Saccharomyces cerevisiae S288C: one gene and its partner. The protein of the gene in region 2 binds, or shares a complex with, the protein of the main gene of each other region. Each region holds a gene or a part of one and is shown on either strand. Other genes may lie near its edges. A codon is read from its position in the direction of its gene.

The links.
Region 1: the proteins of RAD53 (region 2) and RAD9 are in contact, whole or in part, in an NMR structure (PDB 1K2N), measured with the Saccharomyces cerevisiae proteins. Residues at the interface, in NP_015172.1 of Saccharomyces cerevisiae: Arg605 (codon at 3,436), Asn616 (codon at 3,469), Arg617 (codon at 3,472), Leu618 (codon at 3,475), Ser619 (codon at 3,478), Arg620 (codon at 3,481), Thr654 (codon at 3,583), Asn655 (codon at 3,586), Ile681 (codon at 3,664), Trp682 (codon at 3,667), Asp683 (codon at 3,670); in NP_010503.1 of Saccharomyces cerevisiae: Val600 (codon at 2,860), Glu601 (codon at 2,857), Leu602 (codon at 2,854), Thr603 (codon at 2,851), Gln604 (codon at 2,848), Glu605 (codon at 2,845), Leu606 (codon at 2,842).

The regions. Positions count from the first base shown.
Region 1 is NC_001136.10:898,824-905,402, forward strand, and holds RAD9 (chromatin-binding protein RAD9), read right to left. Parts: upstream 4,658-6,579; coding exon 728-4,657; downstream 1-727. Other genes in the region: DNA-binding transcription factor ADR1, read left to right, coding at 1-183; septin SPR28, read right to left, coding at 4,958-6,229. UniProt on the Saccharomyces cerevisiae protein: Essential for cell cycle arrest at the G2 stage following DNA damage by X-irradiation or inactivation of DNA ligase.
Region 2 is NC_001148.4:260,958-265,815, reverse strand, and holds RAD53 (serine/threonine/tyrosine protein kinase RAD53), read left to right. Parts: upstream 1-1,623; coding exon 1,624-4,089; downstream 4,090-4,858. Other genes in the region: peptidylprolyl isomerase RRD2, read right to left, coding at 1-788; YPL152W-A (uncharacterized protein), read right to left, coding at 1,116-1,214. UniProt on the Saccharomyces cerevisiae protein: Controls S-phase checkpoint as well as G1 and G2 DNA damage checkpoints. Phosphorylates proteins on serine, threonine, and tyrosine. Prevents entry into anaphase and mitotic exit after DNA damage via regulation of the Polo kinase CDC5.

The DNA of each region.
Region 1 (6,579 bases), on a different chromosome or scaffold from region 2:
AAACATAAAAATGGTGGAAAGGGGCAAGGATTTGCCGAAAAGTACCAATTATCTCTGAAATATGTTACTATTGCCAAGTTATTTTTCACCAATGTTAAAGAAAACTACATTCATTGTCACATGTTAGATAAGATGGCAAGTGATTTCCACACTTTGGAAAATCATCTAAAGGGAAACAGTTGACGATTATGTCTCGTTGCTGATATGTGTCGTCCCAGTACTCAACTCTTTCTGATGAGATTTTGAATATCTCATTTTATTTCTCATCAAACAGCCATGCATGCGACTGAAGTGGACTACTGCGGGAGAACACCGATCTTATCTTTGAAATTGTTGCACAAAAATATTTCACTACCTTGGCGTTTCTCATCTCACCCATTGGGGTGAATCTCGTTATTGCTCCTTATTTTGGTCCATTTTATATTAAATCCTGTATCATGTTTAACATTTTTCATCTTATACCTCATACAAAAAAGAAAAGCTATTTATGAAAGTTAGTTCATTACAAGATGCAAGCCTAAAATATATGCTTGATCTTAAAATTCATGTATAGAAGAAAAAGACCTTACCAACGTTGTTGGTTACCGTGTATAACTAATACCAATCTTGAACATTAACCACTCCTGGCGTGTGGGAGGATGTTCTTAGACTTAATTAAGAATCTCTAAATTTTTTTTTATTTAATCGTCCCTTTCTATCAATTATGAGTTTATATATTTTTATAATTTCATCTAACCTCAGAAATAGTGTTGTATATATCATTGTCCGTAATATCATCGTGAAAACCAGTGTCCTCGTTAATTATTGTCTGAATTAGCCATTCTTTAGATTCAGTGTGAAATATGTAATTAAATTTCTTAAATTTCAGTGATATTTGACTTCTCAATCTTTCGAGAAGCTTCATCTGAGATTTACCATTATTTTCGTTAGCATATATGAGAAACTTTAACTTTCGATTAGATAATTCTGATCCTATTCTGGGTACTAAAGAATCTAAGGCATTTAACAATGGCTCTGTATCATCTACATCAATATTGGGTAAATCAATTGTAAGCATTCTACCTGCGCTCAAACATGCAAAAGCAAATTTGACAAAACTGTCCAACTCAGATCTACCCCAAACAATAACAATGTAGTCATTTAACATTTTCTTCACTCCACATATCTGATCTCTTAAATTAGATCCGCGTAAGAATTGTGTATAAAATGAAAAAATATTGTTGGATTTAATGATTCCTCCCTTTGATGGAGAATCTAACGATAACCGAAAACTTTCACCCGAAGGTAATAGGTATTGGTATATTAAATGTGGTACTATTCTTTTCTTTTCAATGCATGCACTTATGAATTTCCAGTGTAGTGTAGGCCACCCCAACGCCAAAGTTTCTAAGTACTTTAAGCTTCTTAAATGCCGTTTTGTGATTAGGCAAGCAAATCTGCAGTCTGCAAATAGGGAATGAGGTTTCCAGGCTAGCTTCAAGGCCAATTCTCGAATATTATCTGTATTACCTTTATTGACTAAAGATTTAGCTAGCGGATGAGTGAAGTTAAATAAAGTGGAAAATCCTGACTCAATTACAGTGCCGCCTTGCGATTCAATGGTCTGTCGAAGTTCCTCTCTATTTTCGAATAGGCTTGTCAAAACAAAAATACATTTATCAAATACATTCCCTGTTCTGATTTCACCAGAAGAAAAAAGCAGGCTTGGCGCTCCTGCATGTTCAGCTAATGCGTCTCTAGAATCCTTTTTAACAATTTCCTTCTTTTCGGAGCTCGATTCTATTTCGTTATTGTACACTTCAGTATGCGTATTTATGTCCTTTTCGTCATCAGTATGTTTCTTCGGAGACAGAACATTGGTCATTGATTTCCTTCCCCTAATGGGATGTCTCAAGTACCTATACGCGTCGCCTTTATTTTTCTCATTATCTTCTAATATGATCTTCGCTCTTTTAGCCCACTCGCTTAGGTCAAGACTGATCGAGCTTAGTGCTTTAATTAACGTCCTTTTCCCCAACAATCCGCTTGCATTTTTTTTTTTCAAATGAACCGTATCATATCCTCGAATACATCTTATTATGTTGAGATCATGGCTACGACATTCTAGACCAACGACTACGTACTCATTTCCATCAAAGGTAACAGCATCCCCTATTCTAATATCTAAGTAGTAGATGTCCTCATCTTTGGTTAGCGATCTTCCTGTTTCGAAATAAATCCAACAGCCATCTTGATTAGTGTCAACTTCCAATAAAATACCCGGATAAAATTTGTAATTCCACGTATACTGACACCATACCGCATTTCCAAAAATTATGTCGTCTTTCGATAAGAAACTATTATCTGCCGTTCTAATACCTTCAGGAAACACGTAAGACTGTTCTTTAGAGTCTTTGCCCGAACCTGTCTCCCCTGTTTGTATGGTAATGCTGCAAGACGGTTCCCTTTTGATAGAAGCAGCATCCAAATCTGAATTTCTTTTGAGGTGTTTTGTCGGTGATGTCTTAGTGCTTCTGTTCTCCTCCTCTTCACCGATCTCTATTGTATCTTTTTGACGTCGCTTTATTGTTCTTCGGTTCTGAATAATCTCCTGTGACTCACTTGGAAATAATTGCATGAGGTTTTTCTGAAGTTCTGAGCTCTGTCCTTTGCTTTCGTGTTCAATCAAAGCTACATCCAAAGACTCTGTGCCATCTTGTTTATCTGAATTGCATTCTTTATTATCATCATGAAGCTGAAGTGAGTTCCCCTTGCTTTTTTTTATCTCCATTAAAGTTTCTTCCTCGACTACCAGCTTTTTTGGAGACGTTTGAAGATCTTGCTGCTCTTCAACTTCAGGCAGTTCTTGGGTTAGTTCAACCTCGCTCATGATTGTACTTTCCTTTTTCGTATCAAGCTCATTTGGGGACATACGTTCTGTTTCATCACTTCCTGAATCAGATATTTGCTTTCCTGAAAGTTGTAAGTATATTCTATCGGTTATTTCCTTTTGTTCGTTGAAATCAGATGAACCGGCTATGATAATGTCATCTCTGGTAGCTGCATTTGAAGAATTTTGTATATCGTTTGAAAAAACATTGTTTGTCTCTACTTCTCTCTCGTGTATATTAAATGTATCTTTTTCCTTCGGAATAGGTGAAGAATTCGAGGGTTTTGACATCGTATTCTTAGATGGTGAACTAGTCTCAGGAACTTCCAATATGGGTTCAAAATTAATCCGAGAAAGAGTAACGGGAGTTTCAAAGGTTGCATTCAAAGCATTTTGTTCAGGAGAATTTATTATTTGGGTTTTTATTTCTTCTGTCTGGCCAGTAGAATGAAAAACAGGTCCCTTCTGAGCAGATATGCCTTGGGAAAGCGATGAAACAATTATCTGTGTCTCTAATTCATTATTTGTTTCGGTATTGAAACTTTTAGATAAGGGTTGCGTATCGATTGAAATACTATCTAAAGGCATTTCCTGTGTTCTTGGATTATTGACTATTTGCGTAGATCTATTGCTATTATTTTCCGTTTTGTCTTTTGAGTATCGGAATATCCACTTCTTGGATGGTTCCCGATTGTTTACACTCTCACTGGAATACATTTCTTCTTCCGCATTGTTGCGTGAAGGGGTGCCAGACACAGCACTATTAATATCGATATCTAAATTGTTCACGTCATTCTCTCTACCCGAAACATTCAGATTCTTTTCCAATTCGTTAATCTCCTCTGATTCATTACTTTGTATTATTTGATTGTTCCGTTCTCTGAGATCATCTGATGAATAGTTCTCACTTTTCTTTTTTACTGGATTTTTTTCCTCGATAGCTCCTATGTTATCTTCGTTATTGTTAAAAACCTTGTTTACATTTCTTGTGGTCCGGCCATTCCCGGTAATTTTGTTCTTGTCATAAGAGCTTATCGAATTAGGTGATTCTGCTGATATCATGATTTGAGTTTTTTGAACTCGTTCATCTTGCATTCCTCCACTTTTACTTAATTCGTCTTTATATCTTTTAGGTGTAACAATTCCTTCCAATGCACAGTCATAATTATCAGCAGAACGTTCAGCCATCTGTACAAAAGTGGCATCCGCCTCTGTAACTTCTAATGACGCATTTTCTTCTCCATCATTCTGCTCTCCATAATAGCAAAACCCAGTATCTGACTTCAACTTTTTGAAGGTTTTCTGTTCCAATGGATCAGTTGGAGTTTGAAAAGTCATTTTTTTTCTTAACATCAGAGGAGTGTCTTCCAGATCGGAGCTTTGATATTTGGTCAAAAGATTTTCTTTACCAGGGGTTCGATTGCTTTTGAAAAAGTTAGCAATTCGGTCAAGGTCAGGAGTCCTTTCATTATGCAATATGTTAGCATTTGGTCGATCATTATCTCCTACTTCAATATTTAACTCATCATCATGTCTTGGACTCTCGTCAAGTAATCCCAGAGATTTTTGAAATATCTCACTTGTATTCATAAACTTGACAGGATTTGGATTTGCTTTGGGACTTCCTTCGATTATGTTTGTGCTATTTACCTTGTTTTCCAACGGATCAACGGGAACATTCATTTCGTTCATGTCGCCATCAGCCAAGGGAGAATGCAGTGCTTCCTTTATAGCGCTTTGGGTGACTCGATCTGGAGAGCTTTTCCATTGAACTAACTGGCCTGACATAGCCCTGATGTTGAAGATTTTCTCACTATGCTCTTTTCTATGGCGTTTCTCTATCTTGCTCACTTCACATTGCTCATCGTTGCAAATATCCACGAACAAAAATCCTCGCGTGTTTAATCAGAACTGCACTCTGAAAATTCAAAGCCGTGCCAGTAATAAGAAAGACACAAGGTTATATAGAGACACATCGAGAAAGTATATTATAGATTAAAAAAATTTTGCCTTATACTTTAGTGCACTTGAAAAAGCAATAAAATTTTATTTCATATGTATCTAACGCTAACAAGGCCGTATATTTATTTAGACCTTATTTTGATGGGGAGCTGCCAACATTTTCTCCAATAAATCAATCTTCCTTTGATAGTCTTCAATAATTCTGTTTTTTTCGTCTATTTCTTTGTGTATTTGATAAGCATTTTCATCGTTTGTATCTGGATTCCCAAGTGTTCTACTTGCACTATTTCTTCTGGTGGAAACATTGCTGACACTTCCCCTTGAGGTTTCGTCGATATAGCTATAGTTTGGAATATCATAGTTGTTTTTCTTCTCAGTTAACACTTTAGCCCTATAATTTTCATACAATACGTTGTTTGTTACATCTTTTAATTCCTGAAGGTGAGAACCTAACAGTATTGCTTTTAAGTATATAAAATCGGAGGTGTTTTGGTCTTCGACCACCAAGCTACCCCATTCGTACGTTCTGATATGCTCAACCCTATTTTCCGAATTTTTATTAAAAGTTTTGCTGCAAACAATGGCAAATGGCGATATTTCCTTGATCTTCGTGTCATTATCGTATTTGGATTTTGCTGAACTGGAATCGATGTCCATATCGTACAGAGCTAATGTTTCGCCTAGGGTGTCACTTTTAAAATCAAAAACACGTATATTGTTCTGAGAGATTTCTTGGCGCACAATGTCTTTGTGTAAATTTAATTCAGTTTCTGTGAGACCATCGGCTTTTGGAATAATGGGAATTAAATTAACTTTATCACAAATCGTTTTCATTAACTCAATATCAAATTTTTTGACTCCTCTTGGAGTACTCTTCAGAAAGTATAAACAAACATGAGGCCTCCCATCAGTTTCTTTTGTGTTTCTCTTTATTCTGACCTCTTCTTTTAAAACATTTGCAAACTGTTGGTCTAAGTAGTTTTTTATAACAACAGAGCTTTGTGAATTGTCGACATTGTCACCGCAGCCTGGAAACAATATGATATCTAATGTTATGGGTACGCCTAGTTCATCGTTCAAATACACTCTTCTGGTGACAAGCTTCAGCCCAGGACTCAAATGGGCTGTTTTATATCCAGGATCTATATCTTCGATGGCGTTTCCATTTTCTGGTGTTACATTATTTGTCACTTTATCATCATCATCATCATAATCCCCATCAGAAAGCGATATATCCTGACCGCACAGATTGTTTAAAAACGTTGATTTGCCGCTGCCTTTTTCTCCAAGTAACAAAATTGACAACTGCAGTCCTTTCTTGTAACCCTTGCGACGTCTTAACTCATCTCTGCTGAGAGTATGTTGTTCAAGAGCTGAGTGATCTTTCATTGGGAACATTTGATTATTTACTGACTTTATGTACGTATAGTAGCTCTTTTTTTGTATCGATTTATAAAAATGCCTGTTCTTACTATTCTTATGGGAATGACACAAAATGTAGACGCATGTCTTTTTCAGGCGTCCTTAATATGAGCGATCAAATTTCGCATCAAAAAAACTTTATTGAAGTTAGAATATATGAAAAAAAGCCACGAAATTTCTAAAGGCAACCACAAATTGTCTTATTATTGATAGAATATAAAAAATAAGTCATTTATTTATATGTACATCTGTGCAAATGGTAGCGGCGCTCTTTAACTGTTTCTACATACCATGCATGCTTGTCTAAAACCATTTCGAAGTTCCGT
Region 2 (4,858 bases):
ACACCGCTGATGTCATCTAGCATAGGAGAATGCCATCTCAAGGAGGCGGATGACTTGACCTTATTAATAAAAGCGATACAACCAAAATATAAGTACCGATGAGCGAACATTTCTACGAGCTCATTATTGTGAATTGATATCGGCTTTAAGTGCTTGTGGGTGGTTAATTGGAAGGCACCAAATAGAAATGGAAGGAAATGATAATCATCTAATCCCCAAACACCATGAGAGCCCGCAGGCTCAAGCCAATATTTAGTTTCTAGTATCCTCATTATTTTAAGGTATTCTATAAAAACTTTCAGCACGAGGTTAGTTGAATCGTTTGAAAGATTGAATATTCCATAACTATAGAGTCCATAAAGTAAACACATGAAATTTAATTCATGACCTGAACCATAATCAATTCTTCTTTTATTTCCCCATGATTCATCTAGATAAATCGATAATTGTTCCAACTGCTCATCTGTGAGAGAGGGAAATTCGGAACGTAAGATCTTCCTGGAATTCCGTGAAACTTCGTCATAAAAGTCCCTAAACTCAACCTTACCAAATCTCGAGCTATCTGCATCCTTTATTACTGGGTGCTTCTGAGTGATATCTTTTATTTGCGAAAGCAAGTTCATCATACTGTTTATTGACTCCGATATTGGTTCTTTGTACTGGGAATTCTCATGTCCTTTGACAGATTCAGCCAAATCTATAATAAATTTAGTGAAATGAGCTCTTGTTGGGGATTCTTCCCATAGTTTCATATCGTCTGGAGTCAATAGTCTCTTTTCTGGCAACATCTTTTTCTAAATATTTATATTGTTCTTTACGGATTGTTGTTTATGGACTGTTCTTTCTGCACAGGCGACTAACATAAAGTACCTCTCTCTTGTCATTGATATCCCTTTTGTTCTATCACATCCGTTAGGATTTTATTCTGTGCTTACTCACGTGAAAGAGAGGGAAGAGTGTAAAAGTTACCCGAAAATCTATTATGGCGGCTATTGTAGTACGTCCAAAACAACGTATTTCAATGTAAATTCAAAGCAAACACTGAGAAAAAACAAAAACTTACTTATTGGTTCGCTCAGCACCTACCTAAATGGTACTTTTAGAATGATACTGTATTATCTACCGTGGTATCGGCAACTATAGGACGGAGATAAAGCATGCCAAAGTAATTCTTCCTTTATTAGATGAGATTTCAGCGTGAGGTGAACCATCATTTGTTTGGTTGGTGCATTAATAGCCTGCTTCCTTTTAATTAAGCCGGAAAGTGTTTGTCACAGATGTCAATGAAACGTGCATCTATTAACATATTTATTTTCATTTCGAGGGTGAGGTGGTGTGGACGCGTTGATACGGCAACGGGAGTGACGCGTAAAATTGGCAGAAAAATCATCACCGTGGGTAGACTTGGAAATGAAAACATTTATAGAATAAAGGTACAGGTTGAGAAGATAAAGGGTACCAAAGTTACCATTTTGAAATCTCTGATCAAGAAAAGGTAAGAAAGCAGAAAAGGACGGTAGAGATTATTGGAAGACAAACTAATTTTGTATATGCATTCGATTTTCTTAAGCTTTAAAAGAGAGAATAGTGAGAAAAGATAGTGTTACACAACATCAACTAAAAATGGAAAATATTACACAACCCACACAGCAATCCACGCAGGCTACTCAAAGGTTTTTGATTGAGAAGTTTTCTCAAGAACAGATCGGCGAAAACATTGTGTGCAGGGTCATTTGTACCACGGGTCAAATTCCCATCCGAGATTTGTCAGCTGATATTTCACAAGTGCTTAAGGAAAAACGATCCATAAAGAAAGTTTGGACATTTGGTAGAAACCCAGCCTGTGACTATCATTTAGGAAACATTTCAAGACTGTCAAATAAGCATTTCCAAATACTACTAGGAGAAGACGGTAACCTTTTATTGAATGACATTTCCACTAATGGGACCTGGTTAAATGGGCAAAAAGTCGAGAAGAACAGCAATCAGTTACTGTCTCAAGGTGATGAAATAACCGTTGGTGTAGGCGTGGAATCAGATATTTTATCTCTGGTCATTTTCATAAACGACAAATTTAAGCAGTGCCTCGAGCAGAACAAAGTTGATCGCATAAGATCTAACCTGAAAAATACCTCTAAAATAGCTTCTCCTGGTCTTACATCATCTACTGCATCATCAATGGTGGCCAACAAGACTGGTATTTTTAAGGATTTTTCGATTATTGACGAAGTGGTGGGCCAGGGTGCATTTGCCACAGTAAAGAAAGCCATTGAAAGAACTACTGGGAAAACATTCGCGGTGAAGATTATAAGTAAACGCAAAGTAATAGGCAATATGGATGGTGTGACAAGAGAGTTAGAAGTATTGCAAAAGCTCAATCATCCAAGGATAGTACGATTGAAAGGATTTTATGAAGATACTGAGAGTTATTATATGGTGATGGAGTTCGTTTCTGGTGGTGACTTAATGGATTTTGTTGCTGCTCATGGTGCGGTTGGAGAAGATGCTGGGAGGGAGATATCCAGGCAGATACTCACAGCAATAAAATACATTCACTCTATGGGCATCAGCCATCGTGACCTAAAGCCCGATAATATTCTTATTGAACAAGACGATCCTGTATTGGTAAAGATAACCGACTTTGGTCTGGCAAAAGTACAAGGAAATGGGTCTTTTATGAAAACCTTCTGTGGCACTTTGGCATATGTGGCACCTGAAGTCATCAGAGGTAAAGATACATCCGTATCTCCTGATGAATACGAAGAAAGGAATGAGTACTCTTCGTTAGTGGATATGTGGTCAATGGGATGTCTTGTGTATGTTATCCTAACGGGCCACTTACCTTTTAGTGGTAGCACACAGGACCAATTATATAAACAGATTGGAAGAGGCTCATATCATGAAGGGCCCCTCAAAGATTTCCGGATATCTGAAGAAGCAAGAGATTTCATAGATTCATTGTTACAGGTGGATCCAAATAATAGGTCGACAGCTGCAAAAGCCTTGAATCATCCCTGGATCAAGATGAGTCCATTGGGCTCACAATCATATGGTGATTTTTCACAAATATCCTTATCACAATCGTTGTCGCAGCAGAAATTATTAGAAAATATGGACGATGCTCAATACGAATTTGTCAAAGCGCAAAGGAAATTACAAATGGAGCAACAACTTCAAGAACAGGATCAGGAAGACCAAGATGGAAAAATTCAAGGATTTAAAATACCCGCACACGCCCCTATTCGATATACACAGCCCAAAAGCATTGAAGCAGAAACTAGAGAACAAAAACTTTTACATTCCAATAATACTGAGAATGTCAAGAGCTCAAAGAAAAAGGGTAATGGTAGGTTTTTAACTTTAAAACCATTGCCTGACAGCATTATTCAAGAAAGCCTGGAGATTCAGCAAGGTGTGAATCCATTTTTCATTGGTAGATCCGAGGATTGCAATTGTAAAATTGAAGACAATAGGTTGTCTCGAGTTCATTGCTTCATTTTCAAAAAGAGGCATGCTGTAGGCAAAAGCATGTATGAATCTCCGGCACAAGGTTTAGATGATATTTGGTATTGCCACACCGGAACTAACGTGAGCTATTTAAATAATAACCGCATGATACAGGGTACGAAATTCCTTTTACAAGACGGAGATGAAATCAAGATCATTTGGGATAAAAACAATAAATTTGTCATTGGCTTTAAAGTGGAAATTAACGATACTACAGGTCTGTTTAACGAGGGATTAGGTATGTTACAAGAACAAAGAGTAGTACTTAAGCAAACAGCCGAAGAAAAAGATTTGGTGAAAAAGTTAACCCAGATGATGGCAGCTCAACGTGCAAATCAACCCTCGGCTTCTTCTTCATCAATGTCGGCTAAGAAGCCGCCAGTTAGCGATACAAATAATAACGGCAATAATTCGGTACTAAACGACTTGGTAGAGTCACCGATTAATGCGAATACGGGGAACATTTTGAAGAGAATACATTCGGTAAGTTTATCGCAATCACAAATTGATCCTAGTAAGAAGGTTAAAAGGGCAAAATTGGACCAAACCTCAAAAGGCCCCGAGAATTTGCAATTTTCGTAACCAAGGACAAATACCCATAGAAAATGCTGCCCCTTTTTAAGAGAGAAGATGGTAGATACCAATACTCAGAATTCATCTATTCATAACTTTTTGGGTTTTTATTACATATAGAGTGACGTTTTGATACGATTTACATTTTGAAATATATAGATTTTTGTATATTAATAAGTTTTGATTTTCAGTTTTAGTTATGCTTAATGAATTTTTGAATCAGAAAAAGAAGTTCTGAAAAAAACATAATCCTGCTTGATGTGGTACAACAAGCTCATAAATAATTTTAAAAAGTTTGTTAATCCGTTTTCAATATCTTGAGCTCCTCAATTGTATTTGCTGAGGTCTGATTATTTCTATAACCAAAAGCGGTTATTGAATCTATGGAGAGGCTGTAACCCGTCTTATGCCTTCCGGGTACTATATTTCATTTGCGGGTGTCGATGGATTAAGGGGCGGAGGCGGCCCTTTTTAGGATTTATATAAAAAGCCATACTTCCGTACTTCGTAACCTCTTATCAACTGGTTAAGGGAACAGAGTAAAGAAGTTTGGGTAATTCGCTGCTATTTATTCATTCCACCTTCTTCTTTTTTGAGCGAAGCCTTTATAATCAAATTTTAGTGGTCTTTTCTATTTTTATTTGAGAAGCCTACCACGTAAGGGAAGAATAACAAAAAGTATATCTCACCCTACTGTATTCATAAAAAGTTTTTTCTATTAGAATTCTATAAGAAAAGAAAAAAAAAAAGCCTAGTGACCTAGTATTTAATCCAAATA